4 linked regions of the Arabidopsis thaliana genome follow. The protein of the gene in region 1 purifies or fractionates together with the protein of each later gene. This does not show direct contact. Each region holds a gene or a part of one and is shown in the gene's direction. Other genes may lie near its edges. The genes, in order: AT3G09200, AT5G25230, AT5G67630 and AT2G17360.

Region 1 (6,947 bases):
GATTTAATTTCCATGTATTGGCTCAAGGGTTTGGTAATTATGACCCGAGCCGTGACCGGAGCAAGTTAAATCTCGTTGACCCGCAATCCCGTAACACTTTGGCTGTCCCTGTTGGTGGATGGGCTGTGATCCGTTTCACTGCTAATAATCCAGGTATAAACTCTCTATCCAATTCCTTAGTTATACTAAAAATGTAATTATATAGTTTAGAGTTTTACAAAGGCTATTATTGTTGTTTATGCATGAAACCTAAATATTGGCTACATTGTTTCAGGTGCGTGGATTTTTCATTGTCATATCGATGTTCACTTACCATTCGGACTAGGGATGATATTTGTGGTTAAGAACGGACCGACCAAGTCGACCACCTTGCCACCGCCACCACCAGATCTTCCCAAATGTTAAGCAAGATAAAAAAAACATATTTCATCGAAAACAATAAAAAGAAGATTATTTAGAGCAAAGAAGACAAAAATTTGTCTCTCTGTCTCACATTTGTTTTGATGTAGTCGGTAAAGAAATTGTATTGTAGTCCATTCATATGTTGTTACCAATTGTGTGTGCTGTGAGTAATTTATATGATTTATTATTATTTTTGTCACTTTTACAAGTTTTAATTTGATATTTTTGAAAAGAACGTCACTTGAACCAAAATAAAAGTTCTACTAATTAAAAACATTTTTATAGAACAAGAAAAAAACAGTTTTTGATAATTTGCATAAGCTAAAAACATTTGTAATCTAGACATTACCCGAAAAATATTTATTCAAAATTTTAAAATACAAAGTTAGTGCCCCATATCTTTGTAAAGTACTCCAATTTTGTGATTTGCAGTTTAATTACTACTTCAATCCGGTAATTTTAATCTGATTTAGTTTCATACCGGCATTTGGGATAAACCGGGTTCCCGGTTAAACAAATTCCAAAACATTATCCAAAACAAACAGAGAATTTTATCAACGGAATTTTCCCAAAAGAAAAACAGAGAATGATGAAGCTGCAAGGGGGACTTCTCCAGTGGAGTCGTAGCAGCTTAATCCCGTCGATTTATACGCCAATCAACAAAACCCAATTCTCTATCGCCGCCTGTGTCATCGAGCGGAACCACCAGCTTACGGCGAAGGAGAGACGGCAGCTCCGGAACGAGCGGCGGGAGAGTAAATTGGGGTATAGCTGGCGAGAAGAAGTTGAAGAAAAGTTGATTAAGAAACCAAAAAAACGGTATGCAACGTGGACGGAGGAGCTGAATTTGGATACTTTGGCTGAGTCGGGTCCGCAATGGTGGGCGGTTAGGGTTTCGAGACTTCGTGGTCATGAGACTGCTCAAATCTTAGCTCGAGCTCTGGCTCGTCAATTCCCTGAAATGGAATTCACGGTAATTGGAATTTTACTGGATATTTGGGTTGTGTTGGGTGATTTTAAAGTTTGGATTTTGACAATGAGATTGGATCAAACTGGTATCTTGATAGAATTGCTGACAAACTCTAAACAGTTGTTGATGGAAAGTGAAAAGATTTGATTTTGGGTTATTGTGTGATCTTTAGAATTTGTGGGGAATTCATACATTGGTATTGAAACAAGTGGCTTTTGAATTTGGTTGTCCAGGTTTATGCACCATCTGTTCAAGTGAAGAGAAAGCTAAAGAACGGTTCTATATCTGTTAAACCGAAACCAGTGTTCCCTGGTTGCATTTTCATCAGATGTATATTGAACAAAGAGATACATGACTCCATAAGAGACGTTGATGGAGTCGGAGGTTTCATAGGTTCAAAAGTTGGAAATACGTGAGTAGTATTCTCACTCTCACTCTCACCCTATGTGTGTTAAGGTCTGTGAATTAATTTGTATCTGCATTTTTTTTTTGTAGCAAGAGACAGATTAATAAACCAAGACCAGTAGATGACAGTGACTTGGAAGCTATTTTCAAACAAGCAAAAGAAGCGCAAGAGAAAGCAGATAGTGAGTTCGAAGAGGCAGATAGAGCTGAAGAAGAAGCGAGTATACTAGCGTCACAGGAACTTCTCGCATTATCTAATTCAGATGTTATTGAGACTGTAGCAGAATCTAAACCGAAACGAGCCCCGAGAAAAGCTACACTTGCTACTGAAACAAAGGCGAAGAAGAAGAAACTTGCAGCGGGTTCTACAGTTAGAGTTTTATCAGGGACATTTGCTGAATTTGTTGGGAACCTAAAGAAACTAAACCGCAAAACTGCAAAGGTACACTAACTAACTACTTCTAGCTCCTTTGTGTTATTGATAACAAAGCTGGTCAATTTGCACAAATGTGTTTGTTTAGATGTCTCTCTGATTCTTTCGTATGGTTGGTTGCAGGCAACGGTGGGATTTACTTTGTTTGGGAAGGAGACACTAGTGGAAATTGACATCAATGAACTTGTTCCTGAGATTCAATCTTAAATAGTTTGTTCACTAGAATGTGAATTTTTTGGTTTGAAATATAAATCCATGATCACTTCACATGTTTTGGAAGTTTTGGTGTGTTTGTTCTGTTAAATTCGCCAAACGATTGCAACGACGACGTTCTATCTTCATTTGAAAGATGAGAGCCTTTACTGGTTAAATGGGCCTAATTTGTGAAAAGGCCCAACAAACAAGAGCCGTCAGATCAGAATGAAGCAAACAGGCACGAACCGTTAGATTAAGATTCACAAAGAAAACCCTAGAGGTTCCCTTATCCTCAGGCCAAATCGTGAACTATAAAACGGCTGATACCAAAACCCTAATTTCTTTACGTCAAACTCTCTCTATACACAGAGTTAAATTGAGTTTGTGTCTCGTAACTTATCCTGTGAGCGAAAATGGTGAAAGCAACTAAGGCAGAGAAGAAGATCGCCTACGATACCAAGCTATGTCAGCTTATCGATGAGTACACCCAGATCTTGGTCGTTGCGGCCGATAACGTCGGATCAACTCAGCTTCAGAACATCAGAAAGGGTCTTCGTGGAGACTCCGTCGTGCTTATGGGGAAGAACACTATGATGAAGCGTTCCGTTAGGATTCACTCTGAGAACACCGGAAACACTGCAATCCTGAATCTGCTTCCTCTCCTTCAGGTAAACTTTCTTAGCTTGTCCAAAATGATTGAGATTTTATCGATGTGTTTGTGTTTAGAAAATAATTTGCGATGGTTCTGTGTTCGTTTTTTGTAGGGAAACGTTGGTTTGATCTTTACCAAAGGTGACCTCAAGGAAGTGAGCGAGGAGGTTGCTAAGTACAAGGTTTGTTAATTGCTCTTGTTTCATATCTTATTTACAAATGTGTGATTATAGCTTCGGATAGTAAGTATCTGATGCATAGAGGAATCATTTCATGCTTACATTAGTTTATACATGTTCTGAATTTACTTGTGTTGCTTTCGATGGTATCTGATGTATAGTGTAATCATTTCTTGCTTACGTTTCTGTTTATATTGCCTGTGTTCCTATGAGTATTACAGTCATCCCAAGTAGAGCTCATCAATTGTGTAAAAAGTTGATGCTTTCTCAATGCGATTGACTTATGTATAATGTTGTTGCTTTCTCAACGTGATTGGATTGTGTAATATGTTGATGCTTTTGCAATATGATTGGGTTAAAATGTTGATACTTTTTCAATGTGATTCGATTGTAATGGAACTTTTCTTATTATGAATCAGGTTGGTGCCCCTGCTCGTGTGGGTTTGGTGGCTCCAATTGATGTGGTTGTCCAACCTGGCAACACTGGTCTCGACCCATCCCAAACATCTTTCTTCCAGGTTTGTTTTAAACTTACATTTAATGTTTGATTTGATTCGTTTGACGACAATTTGAAGTTAATTGAACATGTATGTGTTTTGGATTGTTTTAGGTGCTTAACATCCCAACCAAGATTAACAAGGGTACCGTCGAAATCATCACCCCAGTTGAGCTTATCAAGCAAGGTGACAAGGTCGGGTCTTCTGAGGCTGCGCTTCTAGCCAAGCTTGGCATCAGGCCGTTCTCATATGGTCTTGTTGTCCAGTCTGTCTATGACAATGGCTCAGTCTTCAGCCCAGAGGTTCTTGATCTTACTGAAGACCAACTTGTGGAGAAGTTTGCTTCTGGTATCTCCATGGTCACTTCCTTGGCTCTTGCTGTGTCGTACCCTACCCTTGCTGCTGCACCGCATATGTTCATCAATGCGTACAAGAATGCCTTGGCTATTGCTGTTGCCACTGAGTACACCTTCCCTCAAGCAGAGAAGGTCAAGGAATACTTGAAGGTTAGTATGCATTAAAACTGTGCATCTTTTTCATTTTATTTCGGAAGTTTGGAGTACTGATTTTGTTTATGTTAACTCTCTGGAATGCAGGATCCAAGCAAGTTTGCTGTTGCTTCAGTAGCTGCGGTGTCTGCTGATGCAGGTGGTGGTGCCCCAGCTGCTGCTAAGGTAGAGGAGAAGGAAGAGTCCGACGAAGAAGACTATGGAGGTGATTTCGGTTTGTTCGATGAAGAGTAGATTTTGTCGGTTAAGATCTTACCTTTTTGTCGTGGATTATAAGTGTTGCTTTGTTTTTAGTATGTTGGACCTCAATTTTCTTGGTTTTAGCCAATCCAGTTTTATGTTACTACTGTCTTTTATTTTTTGGAAAGATTTCGTTTTCTTATGGTTGCTTTAATATTTTTCAATAATGTCTGGACGATGAATTTGCAATTTATCTATCCGTCGAGAAAGTTAAGAGCTTCTTATACATGACTTTGATAAAATTTGTATGAAGCAGAATCTTCTTAGATCTACAAGTTGAGTCATTTTATTTCTTAGAAAGTAGGCACAAATGTCATATTCTAAAAGTAAATGAGGCTAAACATGATAGAATGTAATAAAACTGAGATACAAATCAGAAACGGCATTAACCTTAGTCAGCAACCACTACGAGGGAGAAAGTGAGTGGGACTGAGAACGAATCAATCTCTCTGCATGTGTTGATGATATTTAACTTCTTCCTCTGCTTTCTTCGCATAGTTCCACACAAAACAACAAACTTAAATACTTCTTGAAAAAATGGAAGTCATTCTCAAATCCTAGAAATTCCATTTTTAGAAGGAGAAGAGTGAGTGAGTGAGTAAGAGAGAGAGAAGAGCTCGTCTCTGTAGTCATTAAATCAGAGAGAACCAATTTTAGTCTCAGTATAGCTATGGCGATATTCAAAACCCTATCTTTTCTGGTCCTTTTATGCTTTGAGATACATGGAACCGCAGGTGTGGATTTCACGTTTTCATTTGATGAATTCGTAAAATCTCAGAGTTTTGACAAGAGTGTTGCTCTGTTTGGAGATTCGAAGCTGGTCAATGACAGTTCTTCGATTCAGCTGACTGACTCAGTGAATCGGACCGAGGGACGAGTCTTTTACAAGAAACCCATCAATCTATTCCAAGGTAAAGAGAGGAACTCCGTTATTTTCTCGACTTACTTCTCGTTTTCGATGCCCAATGAGATTGGTGATGTCTTGGCTTTTGTAATGGTTCCAAGTACTTTGGATCTTAGTCTGTTTGGTAAGAAAGATTACAGTTCCTCTGCTTTAGGGTTTCTATTAGAGTATGCAAAGAACGAGACAGTTGTTGCTTTTGAGTTTGATATCTCCAAGAGAGGAAACCGTGCAAGAGTCTTAATTGGTAGACCTGAGTCTGCCAAAATTAGAAACCTTTCGTTTGTGGGTGACTTGATGATGGATGATGGAGGGATTTTGAGCTGTATGATTGATTATGAGGCAAGTTCTAAGAGAATGAGGGTTCGTTTCAGAAAACGTGGTTCGATAAAGATGTTTGATCCGTTCTTCTCTTTCTCGGTAGACTTGGAGAAGCTTTGGAAAGGTGGTGAAGTCATGGTGGGTTTAAGCTCTGCTAATGGGAACTCTTCCAAGCCACATTTTCTCCATTCATGGAGCTTTGAAATATGGCATCTTGATCCGATATGGGTGCAACCAGCGCCATTAGGACCAAATGAAGGTTTGAAGCCGGACGTTTCCACGGAAATGGAAGAGGGCCGAGAAAATAGTGAGTGTATATGGAGAATGCTTGGTGCTCTGGTCTTGGCTGCAGTATGTGGAGCCGTAGGGGCAATGTCAGCTATGTATCTTTGGACTATTTGCAGTGTTAGGCGGTCAATGGCCGTGGTTCCAGAGGAATGTGCAGTGAGCATTGTGGTCGTTGCAGTTAAAGATGGCAAGAAGTAATGAGAAGTTTGTTTGGCTTTGGCTTTGGTTTAAGAAGGTTGTCTTGTTGTAGTGTAAATGTAGTACCTTCTTCCACTTCCTCTGGTGTTATCTTTATTTAGTGTTTTCTTTTATTTGCTTCGTTAGTTGCAGGTTTCACATGTACAATCTCTATGAAAGAAGCCGTAAGCTTATTTGATCTTGCAAAATAACTTAATTTATTGATCTTGCATTTAACATGTTTTATATTTCTGGATCGGAAGCAAAAATCAACACCCACTGTCTTTTTCTCACTTTGATGCTGACTGCAACAGAGTAATGTGAACCGAGTTAAAAAAAAAGGTCTCTGTTCAGTCATCTCGTGAACAAAGATCAAATCTCTAGAAAGAAGACAACATTCACATGTTACCAGAGAGTAGAAAGAAAGAAAGTTAATCTAAACCTCAACATGGGACATCAACAACAAACAAGAGGTATATCAAGGAGAAGAGCAGATACTAAAGATCCATACAAAATGTTATTAGAACTTATTTCTAACCTTTCTTTTAATTGATCCTCCCTAATCACTAGAGTACTAGGTATCATCTTGAGAGCAACTGGAGTGGTAAGCTTCACAAACGTCCAGGTTTAATGCAAGAGGCAATTCTTGGTAAGCGCGGTGTAAAGGAGGTAAGATTAACGCAGACTTTTTATCCATTGCTAATAGCCTTCCACATTTACTGCATCATCAGAAGAGAAATGAAAAGTTAGTCCACGGGAAACAAATGTATTAGAAGAAT
Region 2 (8,948 bases), on another chromosome or scaffold:
TTACGAGCAGCTTTTGTCGGCGCACGTTGCTTGTTTGAGAATCGCGACTCCGGTTGATCAGCTTCCGAGAATCGATGCTCAGCTTGCTCAGTCTCAACACGTCGTCGCTAAATACTCAGCTTTAGGCGCCGCCGCTCAAGGTCTCGTCGGCGACGATAAAGAACTTGACCAGTTCATGGTATATAAATTTCAGATTTTTTTGTTCTATAATTTTATAATTAACGATTTCATAATTATACTTAGCACAAATTTTAATAATACACACCGACTTAGGTTTCTTGATTTTTGAAATCTTAAAATATTAAAATCAAGATTTGTGTTTTTAGGGATAAACAAGACTAAAATCCCAAAAAAAGAGCTTATGATATAATAATGGTCATGATGATGAAGAAAATACAAATTTTGTTCTTTGTGTTTATTGTGTGTTTGATTAATGTTTTTTTTATGGTGTAGACACATTATGTGTTGCTACTGTGTTCATTTAAAGAGCAATTGCAACAACATGTGCGTGTTCATGCAATGGAAGCTGTGATGGCTTGTTGGGAGATTGAGCAGTCTCTTCAAAGCTTAACAGGTGAGAAAATGAATCCTGTGATTAGCTCATGAATCCAATAGTTAGTTTTATGACATTGACAAGTTTTGTGTTTTATTGGTGAGATTAGGAGTGTCTCCTGGAGAAGGGATGGGAGCAACAATGTCTGACGATGAAGATGAACAAGTAGAGAGTGATGCTAATATGTTCGATGGGGGATTAGATGTGTTGGGTTTTGGTCCTTTGATTCCTACTGAGAGTGAGAGGTCGTTGATGGAAAGAGTTAGACAAGAACTTAAACATGAACTCAAACAGGTAATAATCAACAAACTTGTTCTTTGAACTAGTTCATGAACTAACAATGTAGAGGGCTTTGTCTTGTTGATGAAAAGGGTTACAAGGAGAAGATAGTAGACATAAGAGAGGAGATATTAAGGAAGAGAAGAGCTGGGAAGTTACCAGGAGATACCACCTCTGTTCTCAAAGCTTGGTGGCAATCTCATTCCAAATGGCCTTACCCTACTGTGAGTTCACTCATCTAACATCTCTTTATAACTTCTTCAAGTTCATTCATTGAGCCATAACCAAATATTGGTTTGTAGGAGGAAGATAAGGCGAGGTTGGTGCAAGAGACAGGTTTGCAGCTAAAACAGATAAACAATTGGTTCATCAATCAGAGAAAGAGGAACTGGCATAGCAATCCATCTTCTTCCACTGTATTGAAGAACAAACGCAAAAGGTATTATTATACTTTAATATAGTCTTGTAACATAACCGAAAAACTTATGGATCGGACTCAAAGAAGACTGAAACTTTTGTTTGTCTGATGAAAGCAATGCAGGTGACAATAGCGGAAGAGAGCGGTTCGCGTAGAAACAACAAACATATGATGTGAATTGGGGAGGTGGAAGATGGGATTTGAAAGCAGGGTTTTAGGGATTTAAAGTTGAGAATTTTATGGAGGAGTTTGGATTATACAGAGAGAGGGGACAGTATTAGAAAGTAACTTTTTGTGCAATTACATAGTAACGTAGTTTGGTTATGTGATTATGCCCATATATTTTATTAAGTAGCACACAAACCAAAAAGAAAATATGAAAACTGAAGATGCAGGCTTTTGTTTAATGTTTTTTGTTTGTTTGTCTGCATGAGTTTTTTTTTTATGAACCATCAGATAATCATCATCATCATCCATAATATATCTTGTGAATAAAGATAGTGAGAGAGGAGAACATTGGGATGCACAAGTTTTCTTAATCTACTAGTATATGTTACGCATTGACCAGGTGCATATGTTAATTTGTATCGCACCACTTGGTTAGCTTAATCTATGTGACTATTATACAGTATATGTTTCGCATTAACCGTACTTAACCCATCTTATGATTCTTATCCGCTTAGTTCGTAGTATTTATTGCGATGTCACATTCCAACTCGTGATATTGGCTTGATAAGTAAAAGACATTATACATGGTAGATGACGACAAAAAATAAAACATACCCCATCTTACATAACGTAGCTTGCTGCGTACTTTTGTAATTGTAATAATTTGAAACGTGTTCTTTTTTCTAGTCAAAATTGTTTGTTTATCCTCATCTTGTTGTTTCGTTTGTCACGTTTGTGATAGCCACAAGTTACTGTAAGTTTTCGGCGAGATTTTTCTATCGATCACGGAGAGATTCTGCACACATTAACAAAGATAATTAGAGTGTCCTTAAGTATTTTGGTCGCCTCTCTATTAGAGGACCATACAAAGTTCAAAGACTAGTCTCATGAGAAGCCCATTAGTACATTAGATTAAATCTAGGAAAGTAGATTCATATAAGTAGTTTTGTAATGAACATCAAAGTTGTTAACTTAGAGAATTGTCATTTGGATTGTATAAATGGTTTGATAAACGAAGTCTAACATTAGTATGTGTTAGTCTTCTAAATTCAAATAATAATCGGAGTTTTGGTCTCTTGGACGATGCTTCACAGTGATATTCAAAAGTTTACCGTTATCACCCACCAACTAGAGAAGCCAAATTAGGTCTTTTACCAACTGTAGGGTAAAGAACTGTCTTCATGTAATCATTATAACCACCACCATCTTGTTATGCTTTGTTTCTTCTTCAAATTGCAGCTTTCAATATACAACCCGGTTTACGTTCTGGTTTACACTTTAGACGTTTCAATTTACAAAATTGGGCCGATTGACAGATATTGGACCTGGCCCATCAATCTAAAAATGCGCTATTTTGAATCAAAGACCTATTTAAATCTTCCGACGACGACTCCGTTCACATAGCAGAAACAGTGGCGACAAACCCTATCACGGAGCCAACCCGCATTTTCCTCTAGCTTTCGCACCGCCTCTCGCTCTCTCGCCCCACCGGTTCGTCTCTGACATTTTGTGCTTGATTTGGCCGTTACAAAATTCTGATTGCTAGTTCATGAGATTCCTTTTTGACAGGTGACATAAAGATGGATGGTAGCTTGTATGGTGAGTGTGGTAACTATATTGGACCTGAGATTGAATCTGACAGAGATAGTGATGATAGTGTAGAAGATGAAGATCTCCAAGAGCCTGGGGGTTCTAATGGCTGGATTACCACTATCAATGAGAACCAAAATATTGTTCTTCCTGAGGATAAGAAGTACTACCCTATTGCTAAGGAGGTTTATGGTGAGGATGTTGAGACCTTGGTTATGGATGAAGATGAGCAGTCTCTTGAGCAACCCATTATCAAACCCGTTAGAGATATTAGATTTGAGGTGGGGGTCATCAAGGATCAAACAACAACGTATGTGTCAACACTGTTTCTTATCGGCCTCATGTCTAATCCTGCGCTTGTGAGGAATGTTGCTCTTGTGGGGCATCTCCAGCACGGCAAAACTGTCTTCATGGATATGTTGGTAGAGCAGACGCATCGTATGTCTACTTTTAATGCTGAAAACGACAAGCATATGAGATATACGGACACAAGAGTCGATGAGCAGGAGAGAAATATATCTATCAAGGCGGTTCCAATGTCTCTTGTCCTTGAGGACAGTAGATCCAAATCATACCTGTGCAATATCATGGATACACCTGGAAATGTCAATTTCTCTGACGAAATGACTGCTTCTTTAAGACTTGCTGATGGTGCTGTTTTCATTGTTGATGCTGCTCAAGGAGTCATGGTAACTAGTCTTTACTCTCTCTTTTTTCAAGTATACTATTTGTAGTACTAACGCTATTAATCTTTTTTCAGGTAAACACAGAGAGAGCTATACGGCATGCAATCCAGGATCATCTCCCTATTGTTGTTGTGATCAATAAGGTACATCATGCCTAAAGTGTGAAATTTTATATTTTCATACATTTGCTTGACCTTTGCTTTTTGTCTGCCCAACAGGTTGACAGGCTCATAACTGAGCTCAAACTACCTCCAAGGGATGCTTACTACAAGCTGAGGTATACAATTGAAGTCATTAATAACCATATATCTGCTGCTTCAACAAATGCTGCAGACTTACCTCTTATAGACCCTGCAGCTGGAAATGTATGTTTCGCCAGTGGTACAGCCGGATGGTCCTTCACATTACAATCTTTTGCTAGAATGTATGCCAAGCTTCATGGTGTGGCCATGGACGTGGATAAGTTTGCATCTAGACTTTGGGGAGATGTATATTATCACCCTGATACTAGGGTATTCAATACAAGTCCTCCAGTAGGTGGTGGAGAAAGAGCATTTGTTCAGTTTATTCTGGAGCCTCTATACAAGATATACAGCCAAGTGATAGGTGAACATAAGAAGAGTGTAGAGACCACCCTTGCAGAATTAGGAGTGACTCTGAGTAATAGTGCATATAAGCTGAACGTCAGACCTTTACTTAGGTTAGCCTGTAGTTCAGTGTTTGGTTCGGCATCAGGGTTCACTGATATGTTGGTAAAGCACATTCCTTCACCCAGAGAGGCTGCAGCTAGGAAAGTGGACCATTCATACACTGGAACCAAAGATTCTCCCATTTATGAATCAATGGTAGAATGTGATCCATCTGGACCTCTCATGGTTAATGTGACAAAGTTGTACCCCAAATCAGATACTAGTGTTTTTGATGTGTTTGGAAGAGTTTATAGTGGTAGGCTTCAAACAGGGCAAAGCGTACGTGTACTAGGAGAAGGGTATTCACCTGAGGATGAGGAGGACATGACTATAAAAGAAGTCACGAAGCTATGGATATATCAAGCTAGGTATAGAATACCAGTAAGCAGTGCCCCTCCCGGTTCTTGGGTTTTAATTGAAGGTGTCGATGCATCCATCATGAAAACTGCAACTCTGTGTAATGCAAGTTATGATGAAGATGTCTACATATTCCGGGCTCTCAAATTTAATACCCTCCCAGTAGTCAAGACTGCAACTGAGCCTTTGAATCCTAGTGAGCTGCCTAAAATGGTGGAAGGGCTTAGGAAAATTAGCAAAAGCTATCCCCTTGCGATAACCAAAGTTGAGGAGTCTGGGGAACATACTATTCTAGGCACAGGTGAGTTGTACTTGGATTCCATCATCAAGGACCTCAGGGAACTCTATTCAGAGGTCCAAGTAAAGGTATCTCTAATTTGGCTCTATGACTATGATTTCGTTGTGCAACTGATTACTAAGATTTGTTTGTTTCCTCTCGCTTTCTTAAATTTGTAGGTTGCAGATCCTGTGGTCTCCTTCTGTGAGACAGTGGTTGAATCTTCGTCAATGAAGTGCTTTGCTGAGACACCAAACAAAAAGAACAAACTAACTATGGTAAGAGATATTCCTTTTTCCACTATTATCCCTTAGATATTAGACTGCGATGTTTCTTATTGTGCTCATTGTGACTGATTATGTTTCATGCTAAAGATTGCAGAGCCATTGGATAGAGGACTTGCAGAGGATATTGAGAATGGCGTTGTAAGCATTGACTGGAACAGAGTACAACTTGGTGACTTCTTCAGGACGAAATATGACTGGGATTTACTTGCTGCACGTTCCATCTGGGCTTTTGGCCCTGACAAACAGGTGAAAATGCATTGCTTATATTCTTAATAAACTGCAATTGTGGTTGGTTTTGATTATTTCACTGATGGTTATTGATTTTCTTCCTAATCAGGGGACAAACATATTATTGGATGACACCCTTCCAACTGAGGTGGACAGGAACTTGATGATGGGAGTGAAAGACTCCATTGTTCAAGGGTGATCATCTTTCTTCTGTCACACTTTTCTTTGTCTCGATTTTGTTGGCTTTAGCTAAGTGGCTTCGTTTATATTCCTTTTGCAGGTTCCAGTGGGGTGCTCGTGAAGGTCCCCTCTGTGATGAGCCCATCAGAAATGTAAAGTTCAAGATTGTTGATGCACGGATAGCACCTGAGCCGTTGCATAGAGGATCTGGTCAGATGATTCCAACGGCAAGACGTGTTGCATATTCAGCCTTTCTTATGGCAACTCCAAGGCTAATGGAACCTGTCTACTATGTGGAGGTACATATATCTCTTTCCATTTTTGCTCTTCACAATTTTTTCTTTAGAATGATAAATAAGAGTAGTTATGGTTTTTGTCTTCAGATACAAACACCAATAGACTGTGTAACTGCCATCTACACAGTTTTGTCACGTAGACGTGGGTATGTCACATCTGATGTTCCACAACCCGGTACTCCTGCTTATATCGTGAAGGTTAGTTTTGTTTTGTTTGTGTCTTTCTCCTTCCTTACTTTGTTCCTGTTATTTGAGTGAATGATGATGATTCATTGAGTGGTGTTGATGCAGGCTTTTCTGCCTGTGATAGAGTCGTTTGGGTTTGAGACAGATCTGAGGTACCACACTCAGGGCCAAGCCTTTTGCCTATCTGTGTTTGATCATTGGGCCATAGTCCCTGGAGACCCTCTAGACAAAGCCATCCAATTGCGCCCACTTGAACCCGCCCCTATTCAGCATCTAGCTCGGGAATTCATGGTCAAGACCCGCCGTAGAAAGGTATTTATTATTTCCTTTGTTTTAGTGCTCATGCCAAAACTTTGATGCGGTTTCTGATACAAAATGAAACCGTAAACTGCTTTATTACTCTAGTGTTTGTTGAAATGACCCCAGAAAACTCCCACAAACCAAAATACAAACAGCCCTTACTAATTACGCTTTAACCAAGTAGCACCAGCTATAATTTGCCTAGGCTAGTTATATGGTAGACTCATTGGTTGTTTGGATCCTCAGTTTCAGGCTCTCACCGTATGTGTGTATAATTTGTTGGTATTGCAGGGAATGAGCGAAGATGTCAGCGGGAATAAATTCTTTGATGAAGCGATGATGGTAGAGCTTGCCCAGCAAACAGGCGATCTCCATCTGCAGATGATTTGATCATCTCTGCACTTTTTCATATCAATCGTGAGCCTATGATTCAAGACTAGTACTAGTTATATTCTCTTCTCTATACATGTGAAAGGAGAACAAGAAAATGTGGATCAATTTTGTAATTCATGTGTCAAATTTACGTTTAAAGTTGAGAGATTTTAATGAACTAAACAGTCCACATGGTCACACTCACGCATGACTCACAAACAGTTTACGGGAAATGTTCATAAAGTTTTGTAAATTGTAAGCGAATTCAATTATGGTAATGGAAGTGACAACTAACCAATCATAGATTGGACTATTGGAAACTGAACTAGGTTATAATGTATTAATGCTTAGTTATGCACATGATACAGAGATTCACAAGTATTTGAAAACTTTTTTACTTTTTACTGGTTTAGATATAGACTCAGTCCTTATATAGCATATTAGCATCTGCGTTCGTTTCATAATCTTTTTGGCAACACAAAGATGTACTTGAGTGTCCTCTTGACACAACTTATGCAAGTTCAAGTGGATGGAAGTATTACTTTCGGATTTTGGAACTCCACGAAATGTTCTGATTGAGTTATAGCTTATAGTAAAGAGGCTTTGTATACTATGACTAATCCAAACTTTTATACGTGGGCTAAATTTTTTGCCATTCATATCACAACTCATTTCAACAACACATGATCACTTTGCAAACACTTTAGCTTTGTATTTTATTTTATTTTTACTATAGCTATACCATGTTCGAGTTTTAAATATCTCTATCGTCCAAATTGGGCATTTCACATTTTTAAATTTACACCAATTAACTTTAGTGAAAATCTAATAAGTTGTTTATATATATCTCAGTTAGATAAGCACACGTATATTCGGGATAGGTACCAATATATTCAAGATAAACATATAAACCAAGTGTATCAGTAAAACAACAAATAAAGCAATGTTCTAGTTTTATACTAATAAAACATTACTCTAATTAGTGGGCAATCGAACAAGTTAAACCTAATTTAATACGAAATTAATTGTATTCCCTTATGGAGTATATACTAGATTTTAACCCGCGGTATACCGCGGGACGATTTATTTTTTTAAAGTAATATATATTAAAACTTGCAAATTTTATTTTATAAAATATTATATTTTACAATTTATAATTGTTATTAACTAACGCTATACCACGAATCCATGAGACAATTGTTAAAAAACTGAAGTTTTAACCCCTACTAAAACAGCATATTAATAATATTTTAAAATTTTATAAATATTAATTCAAATACATCCGCCATATAACTCAATTCTAAAATAAAACCCGTTCTGTAATTTCTTTACCCGTCCTGTGATTTTTTTTTTAAGTAGTAATTTTTAAAATTTAAGAATTATTTTTTATATATAAAAGTTTTGCAAATTGTATCATTTTCTAATACATTTATATTTTATAGTTTAATTTTATATATAGTAACATTATACATACCACATAACATTTTTTGTTTTATATAATTTTTTCTAAATTAGGATGATTTGATATGTTTAATATTAGTGGTCTTAGAAAATAATAAATTAAAGATTTAACCCGTATTGAAACGGTGGATTAATTATATTTTATTTTTTTATTAATGTTGATTCAAAAACCCGTCCCTCTAAATCCGTCTTGCCAAAAAGCCATTTATTTATTAATATTATTTTTATTAATGATATGACTCTGAATTATAATCTAAACATTTTAGTTAATAACATAGGAGTGCACCATATTTATTTAATAGGAGAATGTACCATATGAGCCGAACGCACTTTTATCCAAATCCACCAAAAAAGTCTTGCAAAAATACTATAGAGATAAGAAACGATTGTCGGTTTTGATAGGTATAAGATTAGCAAATATATTTGTTAGCTTAAATTAGTTAAAGAATACAAATTGAAAAGGTATATTACACTTTATTCGAATATAGTATCAAAACTTATATAACACAGAGATTTGTTACTTTTTAATTGTTGAATATTTTTTTTTGTGCTAATTTTTATGTGATTAAGATTTAATTGATTTCGTAAATAAAATATTAAATTGTTTACGAACTTATTTGT
Region 3 (6,988 bases), on another chromosome or scaffold:
CATATGAAGCTAGTTCTTCTTCATCCTCACTTCTTTCGGCAAGCTATAAATAAGTCTAAAGATGTTGTACTAATCTGTGGAGCCATGCCGGATATGACGAAGTTACACCATCACCGCCTACTTGATCTCTCCATTCTAGAAAATCTTTTTGTGAACAGAGGGAATCATAAGAACAGAGTGAAGTGTGTTTTCTCGTCCATGTTTTGATGTCTTATATGGGCGTTTCAATGGACTTTGGTGAAGTGCAGATAGTGAGAGTCTAAAATGCTTTTTGTTTTGTCTATTTTGCTCAACATCTGGTGCCTCCATTTGAATCTTTATTGGAAAGTGGCTTTGTTGGCTGGGAGACTTCTACATTTTTTTGGCTGCTGTGGGATACTTTTTCATTTGTGGCTTCTAAAAAGAGAAGAGAAGATGTGTTTATCAAACACTTGGGGTTCTACGTTGGGGTCGCAACATGTCTTAGGTGGAAGGATAATGTGTTGAATTGTAACGAGATCAACACTTGTGGACTTTTCGGAAATCATACTATTCACGAGAACAGTCGCTTTTTGGTTGTAATGAGTTCTTTCGACGCCGTACCTTTTGTCGGTGACTTGTCAAAGGTCCACATTTTGCACCACCACCAGGATCTTGTCAACATCAAGTCAGCATTGAGTGGAGCTTCTAAATGGGTAAACAGAACTGTTCGTAACCCACAATCGGATTTCTGTTACATGTCCACAATATTTATGTGTTGGAGTGACGTTGCTTACACAACAAGCAAGCTCTTGACATGTGAACATGAATGCAGTCAATGTTGTGTTCATGTGAAAGTTACTTGATTTCAGCTTGGATATGCAGGCAACAATTAAATGGAGAGGAAAGATCTGCGAGGTGATGAGTTTATCCAAAAAGACAGAGGATATCTTGGTCACATGTGTTCAAGGAATCTTGGAATTCATTTAACAAAGTTTTTATATGGAGGAAGCTTTAGCAAGTCGCTCTTGAGGCTGAAAAGGAAACGCCATAAAGTTCTTAAGAGAAAGTATTATGAATTGGTGGACAAAGGATGTCTTCAAAGATTTCAGATTTGGGTCGAATCTTTCTAACCCAGAAGGGCTGATGCAGCGTATCTCAAAGACGAACGTGTTGTTCGTCCCGTTTGGGCTGGCTCGTTGTTTGGGTTTTGTTTCTCATGGGCTTCATGTTTATTTAGCCTTTTAGTACTTGTATTCGTTTGCTTCTCTTTTATGTTAGTTTTTTTTTTTATCTTTCTCTTATTTGAAAAGACGTAATTTAGTATTGTAATTAGTTTTGATTATTGATTAAAGAGTTTTAAAGAGTGTTTTGTGTAAAGCCTATAAAAAAGGACTCCTAACCCTAAGAGCTTGTGTTCAAGCCCTGTAAGGAGGACTTGCAAAACCTTGTCGATATCGATCCCTTAGAATCGATCTCGATCTTATCATTTATTGCTTCTTCGTCAAGTTTTGACGTTTTAGCAAGATCTATTCGTGAATCCGACTTTTCCTGCAATCATGGAATAAGAATGTGTTTTTTTTTAAAATGTGTTTATTAAAGAAAGAAGGAAAAAAAAAGTTTTAGTTACATTTGACGTGAACTCTTTGACTTGTGTGGGTGCAATACTATATCAAAAAAATTGGGAGTAGTAATACAGTTACCACTAAAGTTTAGGGACATAATGAACAAAAAAAAAAAAAAAAGTTACACATCTTATGAATTAGACGGAGATTTCGCTGCCAAGTGCCGACGATGCGACGGCGAGAAGAAAAGCGTCGAGAATTTCACGAAGCTCTTCTTCAAACACTGTATCCTCCTTCATCGCCACCTTCTTCTCCTTCCTATTCTCCGCCTCCGGTATTTTCTCAATCTCTATTTGTGTCAATTTGTTAGTTCTCGATTGGGTTATGAATCGATAAATGTTCCCGCCATTGTTTCAGGTGGAGGTTGTTGATAACGAACCATTCGATGTGTCACTCATAAACCCAGGTACGATTAATGTAATCTTAACAAGTTATTTACACTTTGGAAGTCACATTCAAATTTGTTTATTATTCAGAGGATTACTTGAAAATCGATTCATCTAATCACGGAGAAGACAAAGAAATCGGAGACGAATTGGGGATTGCAGAGAAACAGAGTCGAGCGCAGAGAAAGAGGTTAAGGAAGAAGATGCTCAAAGAGGAAGCAGCTCGACGGAAGAAAGTCATCGGACCTTTACTTCCGACTGAAATGCTTCAGACCCATGATGAAAGAAGTGTCGGAGATGCTTGTGGGAGCAATGTTGAAGAAGAAGATTCTGACGGTGGCGAAGAAGAGGTTGATGGGAGCATTAGCAACATATGCTCACAACTTGTTCGACCAAATGCCCAAGAGAAGAAAGAAGGTACACACAGCTTTTGACTTTTTTGACGATATCCTTAGTTTCAAATCTTTTGGGAAAAATTCGTACTTTATCTAACTAGATTTCATAACACATGTACGTATTCAGATCAAGGGTTTGACTTTAATCAAAATCTACTAGCTCATCAAGTTGTTGTCTCATTGTTGGTCCTGTGCAAATTACTCAAACGTTCTCTTTTGTGTATTAATTACATTACGCGTCTGACTCTTTATTTTTTGTTTGGTAGGACTAATCGGTGACAATGATAAGACGAGAAAAGTCAAGAAGAGAAGAAATGCTAAGAAACTGGCCAAAGAGAGTTCTAAGAATATCCAGGATGGATCCAATGCAATCCCTGAAATTCCTAATTAGGGTTCAAATTATCACAGACCTTTATCTAAGAGTTAATTACTTCATCTTTAATAATTCAAGGGTATATTACTAAATTTATAATTCTCGTCTATAAGATTTGTGAGTTCCTTTTATGCCCTTGTTAAGAGGATTTAACTCTTACATCGTCATTGCCATTGTGTAGCTTTTCTCTAAACCCTAAAACCTTAACTTTTTGCTCTTCTCCCTCCGCCTCAATCGCACGAAGACGATAATCGAATATGGCGGAACTAAAGCTATCAGAGAGTCGGGACTTAACCAGAGTCGAGCGAATCGGCGCACACTCACACATCAGAGGACTAGGTCTCGACTCTGCCCTCGAGCCGCGAGCTGTTTCCGAAGGTATGGTCGGTCAAGTGAAGGCGCGTAAAGCCGCCGGTGTAATCCTTCAGATGATTAGAGAAGGGAAAATCGCGGGTCGGGCTATTCTAATAGCGGGTCAACCCGGAACGGGTAAGACAGCGATTGCAATGGGTATGGCGAAATCTCTTGGCTTGGAAACTCCTTTTGCGATGATTGCAGGAAGTGAAATTTTCTCATTAGAGATGTCAAAGACAGAAGCTTTGACTCAGTCTTTTCGTAAAGCGATTGGTGTTAGGATCAAAGAAGAGACAGAGGTTATTGAAGGAGAAGTTGTTGAGGTTCAGATTGATAGGCCTGCTTCTTCTGGTGTTGCTTCCAAGTCAGGGAAGATGACTATGAAAACGACTGATATGGAAACTGTGTATGATATGGGAGCTAAGATGATTGAGGCTTTGAACAAGGAGAAAGTGCAGAGTGGTGATGTTATTGCCATTGATAAAGCTACTGGGAAGATTACTAAGCTTGGAAGATCGTTTTCGAGGTCTCGTGATTATGATGCTATGGGTGCGCAGACCAAGTTTGTGCAGTGCCCTGAAGGTGAGTTGCAGAAGAGGAAAGAGGTTGTACATTGTGTCACTCTTCACGAGATTGATGTTATCAACAGCAGGTACTTTTAACATTCCCTGAATTGTAAACATTGGTAATCATGATTTGGTATCTGCAATACCAATGTAGGTTGCAAAATTGAAGTTTTAGTGATTAGGTGATTGGGAATTTAGTTGATTTGGCTCACTAATTTCAGATGAGATGTCTCAAATTTGAGATTAATTCATTGCTTTATATGCTCTTGAAATTCTCAAGCTCATTTTCTTTAGCAGTGTGTAGTCAGAGCACTCTTTATAACTATAACTAACTCATCTGTTTGTGGTATCGTTAGAACCAATTTTGGTTGCGGAATTTAATGTTTGAAACATGATTGGTAGAACAAAAAAAAGTAACTTTGTGTACTTCTTCTTTGTTTGCTTGCAGGACACAAGGGTTTCTTGCCCTTTTCACTGGCGATACTGGAGAAATCCGATCAGAAGTCCGGGAACAAATTGATACAAAAGTAGCTGAATGGAGAGAAGAAGGAAAAGCAGAGATAGTTCCCGGAGTTCTCTTCATTGATGAAGTCCACATGCTCGACATCGAATGCTTCTCATTCCTTAACCGAGCTCTAGAAAACGAAATGTCACCAATCCTTGTGGTGGCAACAAACCGAGGAGTGACGACAATCCGTGGCACAAACCAGAAATCACCACACGGGATCCCGATTGATCTCCTTGACCGTCTTCTCATCATCACTACCCAACCTTACACAGACGATGACATAAGGAAGATATTAGAAATCCGTTGCCAAGAGGAAGACGTTGAGATGAACGAAGAGGCCAAACAGCTTTTGACATTGATCGGACGTGATACATCTCTAAGGTATGCGATTCATCTTATAACCGCAGCTGCATTGTCATGCCAGAAACGGAAAGGGAAAGTCGTGGAGGTTGAGGATATTCAGAGAGTTTACAGACTGTTCTTGGATGTGAGGAGATCGATGCAGTATCTTGTTGAGTATCAGAGTCAGTATATGTTCAGTGAACCAATCAAAAACGATGAAGCTGCTGCAGAAGACGAACAAGATGCTATGCAGATCTGAGGATCCACCTCTGTTTGCCTTATTTATCATGTTTCGTGGTGATATGTATGATTAGGATGTTGAACTCGGATTTATGTTTTTTTTTTTTTAAGTTGTGACGAGATTCGGTTCTAGAAAATGATTTAACCAAGTTCAATACAGATCGGTTTGGTACAAATTTGATTTTGTTTGGATTTGGTCAACTTATTTCGGTTCGGTTAGACTAGACTGTAGGAGATGGTTTTACTAAATTAGTCTGGCCCGTTAAGACTTTATATGGGCTTTAAGCCCAATATTGACGAGTATAGTGAATCTCTCTCTTATCATTAAATACATGTAAGCGTGTGTTGTTCGCAAAATTTGACACGCATGCAAGTCTCTACCATCAGAGTAAATTAATTACGAGTGTTCTCTTACCAGACTTCATCGGTTTTTGGTGGCGTGTTTTGGTGTAACGAATTTATTTTGCTTGGTCGGGTCAATTTCAACTTATTTAGTGAAATATTATCTAAATTTATGAATAAACGTGTGTCCTTGAATTTCTTGAATAAAGATTTCAAAACAAACGGCTTTGTAGAACAAGAGTTAATGATAGAAGGCCAAACAAATTGTTCCAAACTCATGGATTGAATTAATCTAATTTACACATCGCTTGCAAGTAATTAGAAAAAACAAACATCACACGCTGGTGAATCCAACCAAAAATATGCATTATAAAAAGTCGAACAAATCTATTGACAGTAAAGAGTCGCAGTGTCTTTAGGTACTCTGCCATTGTGACATCTGATTCAACTCGTCATGGGTCCCATACTACATTTTATCATTCTCACTGTTACCGTAACTCTGAATCAACAGCTTCCTTTGGAACAGCCTTTATTTGTAATAGTACTTTTTATTCTTCGAAACAATCGGATTGTGATATGATGCGGATTGTGATATGATGAAAAAAACAAAAAAACAATCGGATTGTGATAAGAAATATGTGAATGAATATTCAAATAAATCAAATCCATAAAGATTTTGTTATCAACTACACTTTAGTTCAAATAACATGTAAAATTGGACATAGTTTTACGTGTTGCTCGGATATCATTTCAGAGATTCGTATCACACATTGAAGCCATAAAAACAGCAATCAATCCATACATAAAACAAATTACATAAAGTTAAAAAAAAAAAAAAAAAAAAAAAACTTTGATCATATTGAAAATATTTCTTAATTATTTATTATTTCCCCTTTAATTAGTTATCAAATCATCAATATATTACTTTCTAAATGAAAATTGTTGAATAGTATTAGTAAAAGATGGTTATTGATTAAATTTTACAGTCTAGTTTGGTTTTTAATTAGATACCATAACCTCTAGTCAACTTAATAATTCAAGAGAATGAAACATGTTGTTAATTAATTCATTGGTTGCGATATGCAAGATCCTTAATAACATTTATTAATTTCATATAAAATTCAAATGTCATTATCATTATACATCAGAAATAAAATAAATAGATCTACCACTCCCAACCTCTTTATTTATTCGTCTCATTGCTTAATCTCTTGTGTCGACATCTTAATTTACAAATTCTATCTTTCTGTTATTTTCTTCTTCTTCTTCCTCTTTTTATTTTCTAAATTTATTTGTTTGTGTTTAATCCTTTTTATCGATCTCAAGCGACCTCTTTGTCAAACCTGACAATCCCAAATGATGAAGAATTCTGACGTCGCTATTTATTAAAACCAAAACAATCTCTTCTTATATACTTTAGTTTCAGACAGGAACCCAACAAAAAAATCAAAACTCTTTTCTCTTTTCTTTTTTTTTGCAAAAAAAATAAAAATGGGGAATTGTCAAGCGGCCGAAGCAGCGACGGTTTTGATTCATCACCCGGCGGAGAACAAGGTGGAGAGGATTTACTGGTCAGTGACAGCGAGTGACATCATGAAATCCAATCCTGGTCATTACGTTGCGGTGGTGGTGACGTCACCTACGATGAAGAACGAGAAAGGTTTGCCACTGAAGCAGCTTAAACTCCTTCGTCCTGACGACACTTTACTCATCGGACATGTCTATCGTCTCGTCAGCTTCGAAGGTATATATATATACACTCTTAACTCCATTTCTCTGTTTCTGATAAATAAAATGATCTATAAAGCTGTTGACAATTTTATATCATGCAGAGGTTTTGAACGAGTTTGCGACGAAGAAATGTGTGAAGCTTGGCAAGTTATTGAAAGAAGGAGGAGG
Region 4 (6,735 bases), on another chromosome or scaffold:
CTGCCTGTCATGAAAAAGAGAAAATAAACAATTCATTTCGTCAAGCGGTTAACCACTGAAGTCTGAACGAAGCATTAAAAGGAAGAGCAAAACAAATGAGTGACCTTCTTCCAAGACTTATTGATCCATTTGGCTTGGAAGTTTTCCAAGTCATCAATGACCCATGGTCGTGGAACCAAGTTTTGACAGCTAGCCAAGAAAGACATACCATCCCTTGAGAAAACTTCAGCAAGCTTCAAGATGTGAAAAGAAAAGAGCCCATAAATTAGGACATGCTTGCTGTGGGAGATACCAAAGAGAGGCGATTGAAAGATACCTGTGCAGAACCAAGATCAAAGATGTTTCCAGCAAATATCCCTCTCACCAAATTCTCTAACCGTTTTCCGTCATCTTCAATAGCATCACTCAGACTGACAACTTGAGGAAATAGTGATATAGCCTTTGCATTCTCCTCATCCTATTCATTGAATGTGAACTCATCTAATCAGAGAGAATAAGTGCTAGCTATCTGAAAACCTCAAGAAAACTGAAAGGAAATTCACACCTTAACTTTCTTGAATATGTCCCTAAATCCTAACTCTCTGAGTACTTGCTCACGAAGTCGGCATAGAAGCTGAAAATAAGCCAAGATAATCTATGAAAAGAAGAAAGCTCACTACACCAAAGGAAAAGATCATGTGGTGTTTATACTTACAATGCCATCTGGTGGTCCGCCATGACTCTCTGGATCTTTCTTCAAGTCTTCAAGAATCCCAGCATATCTTTCAGATTCAAGGTAAGAGATATTAAACGCAAATCAAAAGACTGAAACACTATCTTGAGAATCAAACAAACCACAGGGCACAGCCTTTGTTCTACTTTATGAAGGTGACAATGACAAAAGATTTCATACCAACCAAAACCTTGAGAATTACTACCAATTATGCAAAAAATTTACCTTTCTGCAAATTTTTCAGCTCTAGCAGGAGCATCTGGAACAGTGATATCGCTCTCTGCACGTTTCCTGTAAATGAAACAGCTTTAGAACATAGAGATTTAATGGGATTTTCTGGTTAAAAAACAGGATTGCAACTGTTGCCTATAAGCTTCCAGAAACTACTCTTGATGTAAATAAGTCAAAAACCAAGTAAACCCAGGAAAGTCAACACAAACAACAAACCAACGACATTAGTCGAATTTAGCTGAAAGACGAAAAGTTTCCTGAGCTTTTTGATATTTGAGGCTAAGAGAAGTAGTTTTTTGGTAACAAAATCAAAGCTTGGTCTGACCCATGAACATGAACAGAGTCTGAATCTGGTCAAAGTAAATAGAAACTAAATAAGGTCGGAAGAGAGAAGTAGTGAGAAGAGAATGAACTTGAAAGAAGGAATGGAATTGGCGAAGACGTTGATCCACGAGATTTCATTTGGAGTGGCTTTCTTGGGATCATCAGAAGGAAATCTGTAAGGAATTGTGCAAGCTCTGTAGTTGTTTTCTATTGGCATCGGTAGTTGAGGAAACGGAACCATCTCTGAATCGCTCTCCATTTTCTTTGCTTGTGATGATCTTCAGAAATGATACAATGATTGATGACGATGAAGAACAAGTGTATCTAGAGCCGGGTCGGGTACGGGTCAAAGATCCATATTAGTGATTCCACTACCACACGAATAAATGTTGCATTTTTTGCTTTGGGTTTGGTTTGGATTTAGTTAAATAGTAGCCAAGTTCCTATCTTTGTGGTGTTTGTTTCTGCAAAGTTAAGTTTTTTGTTCTATACTAATCAGTCATCTTTGGTCTTCAAATGATTTGATACCTTATCTGTGGTCGGCTATATTAGCTCGAGCAGCAATCTGAATTGTAGAAACCATTGAAACTCTGGCAAAACTTGCTGTTTGCTGCCCGTATAACCGTATTTGTCGAACATAATATCAATGCCCTCTTGGATTAAGGAGTAACCTGTTTTGGTAAGGAAGCTGGAGATTATAGAAAACATTCATATGCCATAAAGAAGTTCAATTTTGCAGGAGTTTACAATTGTAATCAGCTACTTATCATAAGTGGTAAAACCACACCTAGGCACCTTGACAAGCAAAGAAGCTCTCCCAATTAGAGTGATCCAATACCAACCTAGCCACAACACCTACTGCTTGAATAAAGCCACTGAGGTACAAGTTTGTTTTAGATTTAACTCAAAGAGAGAATGTTAAAAGTAGAGAAAAACATATGGATATTTCCTTTTCATAGATGCATACCGATGTCGGACACAATTCTGAGTCAAGCAAATCTAACAGGACCAGGAAAAAAACTCATCCTTCGGAATAAGATATACAAACCTAGATAAAGAAATTAAGAAACAGCAAGAATATGGAAATAGGTACACTGTACCACAATGTTAGTTCCAGCAGCAAAGCAATTATTACTATTGTAACATAGTGGATAATGGAACCTAGCTCATCTGTCTGGCTATCTGCTTAAACACTAACAAGCCCACTCATACGGGCACAACCTTCTACTTCTTCCCTATGTTCTGAAAAGTGAAACCCCTTAGGTTTGCTACTGGGTGCTGCTTTGCCAAAAGACCAAGCTAACTATAACAGGAGAAGAAATTCTAAATGCTAGTATCTCCCTAATCCCTACCCAAAAACATTTGTTTATTGTCTCTCATCAATCACCATAAATCATGATAGATACTAACACCAATAATCACTCACTCATGCATCCTAGCATCTTTACCCTGGCCACCTTTCATTCTCTTCATGCCACAAGATGTTTACACATTCAAGCAAAACCACATGAAAAATCCTTAAGAACAGAAGAAAACGGAAAGATATGTTCCGGTGTTGCCCCTGTATTTCCTACAAACATCTATACTAATCAAACTAAACCCATCATTCACACATACCGTGATCTAAAAACCTGAATTTCAACATGTCACACAGCAATCAACAAAAGTTTGAATAGAGCAAGAAAGCACCTTGAGGCTTGAAGTGATCAGACAAACTCTCTTTCCAGAAAACACAATACTTTCTTCATTGAATTAATAATTTACACAAACCAAGCATCATTCCAACAATTCCCATTGCATCCATCATAAACGCAAGAACAAATCTTTTCCTTTTGTGCCCTAAATTTAGAATCCAGATTCCAATTTCCAACCTCATTTCTTAGCCTTAGAGAATCTAAGACACCGATATTTCTCACCACTCACAGTAATTTCCAGAGCACCATCTTGATTATCCTGATTCGACGCAGTCCCCATAAGAACACTCTTCTCCTTCTCCAGATTCTCTCTCTCCATCTTCAACCTCGCTTCCTGTCTAGCGATCTCCGTCTGTCAAAATCAGAACAAAATCAGTATCCCCACACAGATTTCTCCGGATTCTCCAAAAGCCCTAAAAATCAAAATTTGAAAAAAAAACGAACCTCACGGCGAGAGAGCTCAGCTTTCCAGGCAGCTTCTCGCTCAGCGACTTCACGCTCACGCTCTTCTATATAACTCTGCATCTCTCTCTCCTTCATGATCCGATCTTGTATATCAGCGTCAAGTGCTTGCTTAAGCTCCTCCACAAACTTATCCACCACTAATTTAATTCTCAGCGACATCGTCTTCGAAGCAAATTCTAACTATATACAAAATCTCCTCCTTCCTCACACTAAACGCTGCTACACATAAATACAATCTCCTCCTTCTTCTGGTTTTCCGTCTTTTACTTACGGCGGCGCTTTACCGACGGCGAGATTCCGATCTTTTCTCGTTGAAGCTTGCGTGAGAACTGAGGAAGAAAGGGACAGAGACATTCACGACCTTTTGTTTTTTTTTCCGCTTTCTAATCTTCTTCAGAGTGGGAAAAATAAATAAAAGCGGGCTCTTATTGGGCCTATATTGGGCCTGTACTTAACATAAGTCACACGTGTGGCAGCGGATTTTTGGATTACACATGTTAAAAACTTAAAATTAGGGCTTTGTGTTTCGCTTCTTCTCAAACCCTAGAAGATATAATTGAGACTGGCTTGCTTAGCCGCGGAGAACTCAGAACTCATTCGCTGCAAACATGGTTCGTAATCTTCGTCTCTTTCTCTAAGTCTCGTATTCACAAGCGTATTGCGTCATGTGTTTGTTTTGGTTTTGGATAGTTTGTCTCCATCTGTGAATTCATTTTGTGCGGGATTATAAAATCTCTCTTTGTAATCTAGATAGCATTTCCATGTAATTATGGGTAATTGTTAATGTTTATAAAGTGAATTCCTTTGTGCGATCTGTAAAATGGGTTAGGGATTGATATTGAGATCTCAAAAGATAGGACTCAATTAGTCAGATATGAAACCTCCCTGGCGTTATTCTCTTGTTCTGTGACTTGAGGTCTTGAGTGATGAGACTTTTAGTGATTGAGCTATTATAAACATTTATTGTGTTTTGATTTTTATTTTTGTTCGATATTCTTTTGCAGGCAAGAGGTTTGAAGAAGCATTTGAAGAGGCTCAATGCTCCTAAGCATTGGATGCTTGATAAACTTGGTGGTGCCTTTGTAAGTTTCACTTGTGTTGGATTGAATCTTATTAGAGCTTAGTTTTCGTTTGATTCGGTGCTTATAATGCTATTTCTGTCCAGGCCCCCAAGCCGTCTTCTGGGCCACACAAGTCTAGGGAGTGTTTACCCTTGGTCCTTATCATCAGGAACAGGTTGAAGTATGCTCTGACATACAGAGAAGTGATTTCGATCTTGATGCAAAGGCATATTCAGGTTGATGGGAAAGTGAGGACTGACAAGACTTACCCTGCTGGTTTCATGGGTGAGTCTGTTAGTGTTGTGATACGTTTTCAGAGTCTGGCTATAGTCCTTGTGCTGATTGATTTTTATGCTTCTTGTGATCAATGATCTAACTAAGGATAAATATTTATTTACAGATGTTGTGTCTATCCCCAAAACAAATGAGAACTTCCGTCTTTTGTATGACACCAAGGGACGTTTCCGTCTCCACTCCATCAAGGATGAGGAGGCTAAGGTTTGTTCTCCTAAATCTCTTACATTGCCATATACTGAATCTGTCAAAACAAAGTCAAGTCTTTATTCATTGCTCTATACTTACATTAGAGGTCTGCTGAATTTGCATGTTGATTACCAGTTTGTAATATATTCCAACAAGTATCCTCTTTTGTTGTTGTGCAGTTCAAGCTTTGCAAAGTGAGATCGATCCAATTTGGTCAGAAGGGTATTCCCTACTTGAACACATATGATGGTCGCACCATCCGTTATCCTGACCCGCTCATCAAGCCTAACGACACCATCAAGCTCGACCTTGAGGAGAACAAGATTGTGGAGTTCATTAAGTTTGATGTGGGCAACGTAGTTATGGTCACTGGAGGAAGAAACAGAGGGCGTGTTGGTGTGATTAAGAACCGTGAGAAACACAAGGGTAGCTTTGAAACCATCCACATTCAAGACTCAACAGGACATGAGTTTGCAACAAGGTTGGGAAATGTGTACACAATCGGTAAGGGAACAAAGCCATGGGTGTCCCTTCCAAAGGGTAAAGGTATTAAGTTGACCATCATTGAGGAAGCCAGGAAGAGACTTTCTGCTCAACAAGCTTGATAGTTAATACTATGCTCTGTTTTCCAGTTTCAGAACAAACCATGCTTTAGTTTGCAGCTTTTCAATGAGTCACTTTTGTTTTAAAACTTATCTTTTCGGATTGTTATGAGCTATATTTTGGACCTTTTGCGCTATTAATATTAAGTTTGAACTCAACCTTGTTTCTTCAGATAGTTATTGAATTGCTTCGTAGTATTTAGGGGCCATTTTGTTAATGTTAGGGTCTTAGGGAGATCACAACTTCTGCTAAACAACAGTAAGATAAATGTATCACTTAAACATGTGGTAACATTCTGATTGATGTTTCAAATTTCCGATCTCGATGTCATATTTCGGTGTGGGAGACAAAACAAGGTTTATGGGTTTGCTCTAGAAAGTCTTACATTGATTATGGTGCACAAGCATACGTGTCTGCTTTAAGAATACTGAAGTCATGTTGATATCGTTATTGTCGCTAGCTTCACGTGGTAGTTGTGGCGAGTGTTATTTTAAAATCGTTAGTAGAAGTTGCTCAAAGATTCTTCTCCTTGGTGACTTGGTCAAACAAAAAATCCTACAAAATGAGAAGAAGATAACAACAAAAACGACACTGAAGTCAATGTCGAACCAAGTGCCTCGGAAATGCAACTACAGTCAGGTATATTGATTGAAAACAATGTATCTCTTGTATGAAATCAAACGCCATGCATGAATCTGTTTTAAGCTTGGGGAAATTATAAGAGTAAATCAAGAAAAATATTCTAGATGATAGAAGCATAGAACATTGATCATGTAACTTCATGACAACAAGAAATTGTCTTCGAATCTTTTTTGATGGTTTTTCTACATTCAAGTTAAAAAAAATGTCATTTGATGTGAACCGGTTCGACTTAGCATATGGTTAATTGAAATCCAGCAAAATAAGAAAAGACTTGAGAATATCTAAAGCCAAAACTGCTGAATTCCAAAAGCCAAAATAGGTGTTAACTTATGGTGGATATAAATATAAATCATAGAGAAAATTTTACGGAGATTGAATAATTAATACCCGCAAAAGGATCGGGAAACTGAATAGCAAAAAGACGAGAGAGAATGAGATTTTACTTCTTTATAATTGAAGTTATGCGAATGTTGTGTATTTTTACAATGAACGGTTTATCGTTCTTTATATAGAGATAAAA

The links.
Region 2: the proteins of AT3G09200 (region 1) and AT5G25230 fractionate together in Arabidopsis thaliana (co-fractionation; one large-scale study listed by BioGRID). This does not show direct contact.
Region 3: the proteins of AT3G09200 (region 1) and AT5G67630 fractionate together in Arabidopsis thaliana (co-fractionation; one large-scale study listed by BioGRID). This does not show direct contact.
Region 4: the proteins of AT3G09200 (region 1) and AT2G17360 fractionate together in Arabidopsis thaliana (co-fractionation; one large-scale study listed by BioGRID). This does not show direct contact.

What each region holds. Positions count from the first base shown.
Region 1 is NC_003074.8:2,820,892-2,827,838, reverse strand, and holds AT3G09200 (Ribosomal protein L10 family protein), read left to right. Parts: upstream 1-2,597; 5' UTR 2,598-2,818; coding exon 2,819-3,073; intron 3,074-3,169; coding exon 3,170-3,238; intron 3,239-3,654; coding exon 3,655-3,753; intron 3,754-3,845; coding exon 3,846-4,238; intron 4,239-4,328; coding exon 4,329-4,475; 3' UTR 4,476-4,751; downstream 4,752-6,947. Other genes in the region: LAC7 (laccase 7), read left to right, coding at 1-153, 275-405; PTAC13 (plastid transcriptionally active 13), read left to right, coding at 989-1,375, 1,606-1,784, 1,868-2,219, 2,334-2,417; AT3G09190 (Concanavalin A-like lectin family protein), read left to right, coding at 5,152-6,189; AT3G09180 (mediator of RNA polymerase II transcription subunit), read right to left, coding at 6,743-6,887. UniProt on the Arabidopsis thaliana protein: Ribosomal protein P0 is the functional equivalent of E.coli protein L10.
Region 2 is NC_003076.8:8,736,711-8,745,658, forward strand, and holds AT5G25230 (Ribosomal protein S5/Elongation factor G/III/V family protein), read left to right. Parts: upstream 1-2,834; 5' UTR 2,835-2,909; intron 2,910-2,987; 5' UTR 2,988-2,998; coding exon 2,999-3,697; intron 3,698-3,768; coding exon 3,769-3,837; intron 3,838-3,912; coding exon 3,913-5,106; intron 5,107-5,196; coding exon 5,197-5,295; intron 5,296-5,391; coding exon 5,392-5,550; intron 5,551-5,641; coding exon 5,642-5,727; intron 5,728-5,812; coding exon 5,813-6,011; intron 6,012-6,095; coding exon 6,096-6,206; intron 6,207-6,299; coding exon 6,300-6,506; intron 6,507-6,785; coding exon 6,786-6,884; 3' UTR 6,885-7,170; downstream 7,171-8,948. Other genes in the region: KNAT3 (homeobox protein knotted-1-like 3), read left to right, coding at 1-178, 454-574, 663-847, 925-1,056, 1,135-1,271, 1,366-1,405. UniProt on the Arabidopsis thaliana protein: Splicing factor involved in pre-mRNA splicing and component of the spliceosome.
Region 3 is NC_003076.8:26,965,313-26,972,300, reverse strand, and holds AT5G67630 (P-loop containing nucleoside triphosphate hydrolases superfamily protein), read left to right. Parts: upstream 1-2,900; 5' UTR 2,901-2,994; coding exon 2,995-3,743; intron 3,744-4,105; coding exon 4,106-4,766; 3' UTR 4,767-4,923; downstream 4,924-6,988. Other genes in the region: AT5G67640 (uncharacterized protein), read left to right, coding at 1,753-1,857, 1,941-1,989, 2,060-2,386, 2,631-2,755; AT5G67620 (DUF4228 domain protein), read left to right, coding at 6,581-6,833, 6,922-6,988.
Region 4 is NC_003071.7:7,542,564-7,549,298, forward strand, and holds AT2G17360 (Ribosomal protein S4 (RPS4A) family protein), read left to right. Parts: upstream 1-3,876; 5' UTR 3,877-4,034; coding exon 4,035-4,037; intron 4,038-4,430; coding exon 4,431-4,508; intron 4,509-4,591; coding exon 4,592-4,772; intron 4,773-4,887; coding exon 4,888-4,985; intron 4,986-5,149; coding exon 5,150-5,575; 3' UTR 5,576-5,843; downstream 5,844-6,735. Other genes in the region: AT2G17340 (pantothenate kinase), read right to left, coding at 1-4, 105-233, 317-457, 545-613, 695-761, 938-1,003, 1,357-1,526; AT2G17350 (beta-mannosyltransferase-like protein), read right to left, coding at 3,140-3,313, 3,406-3,585.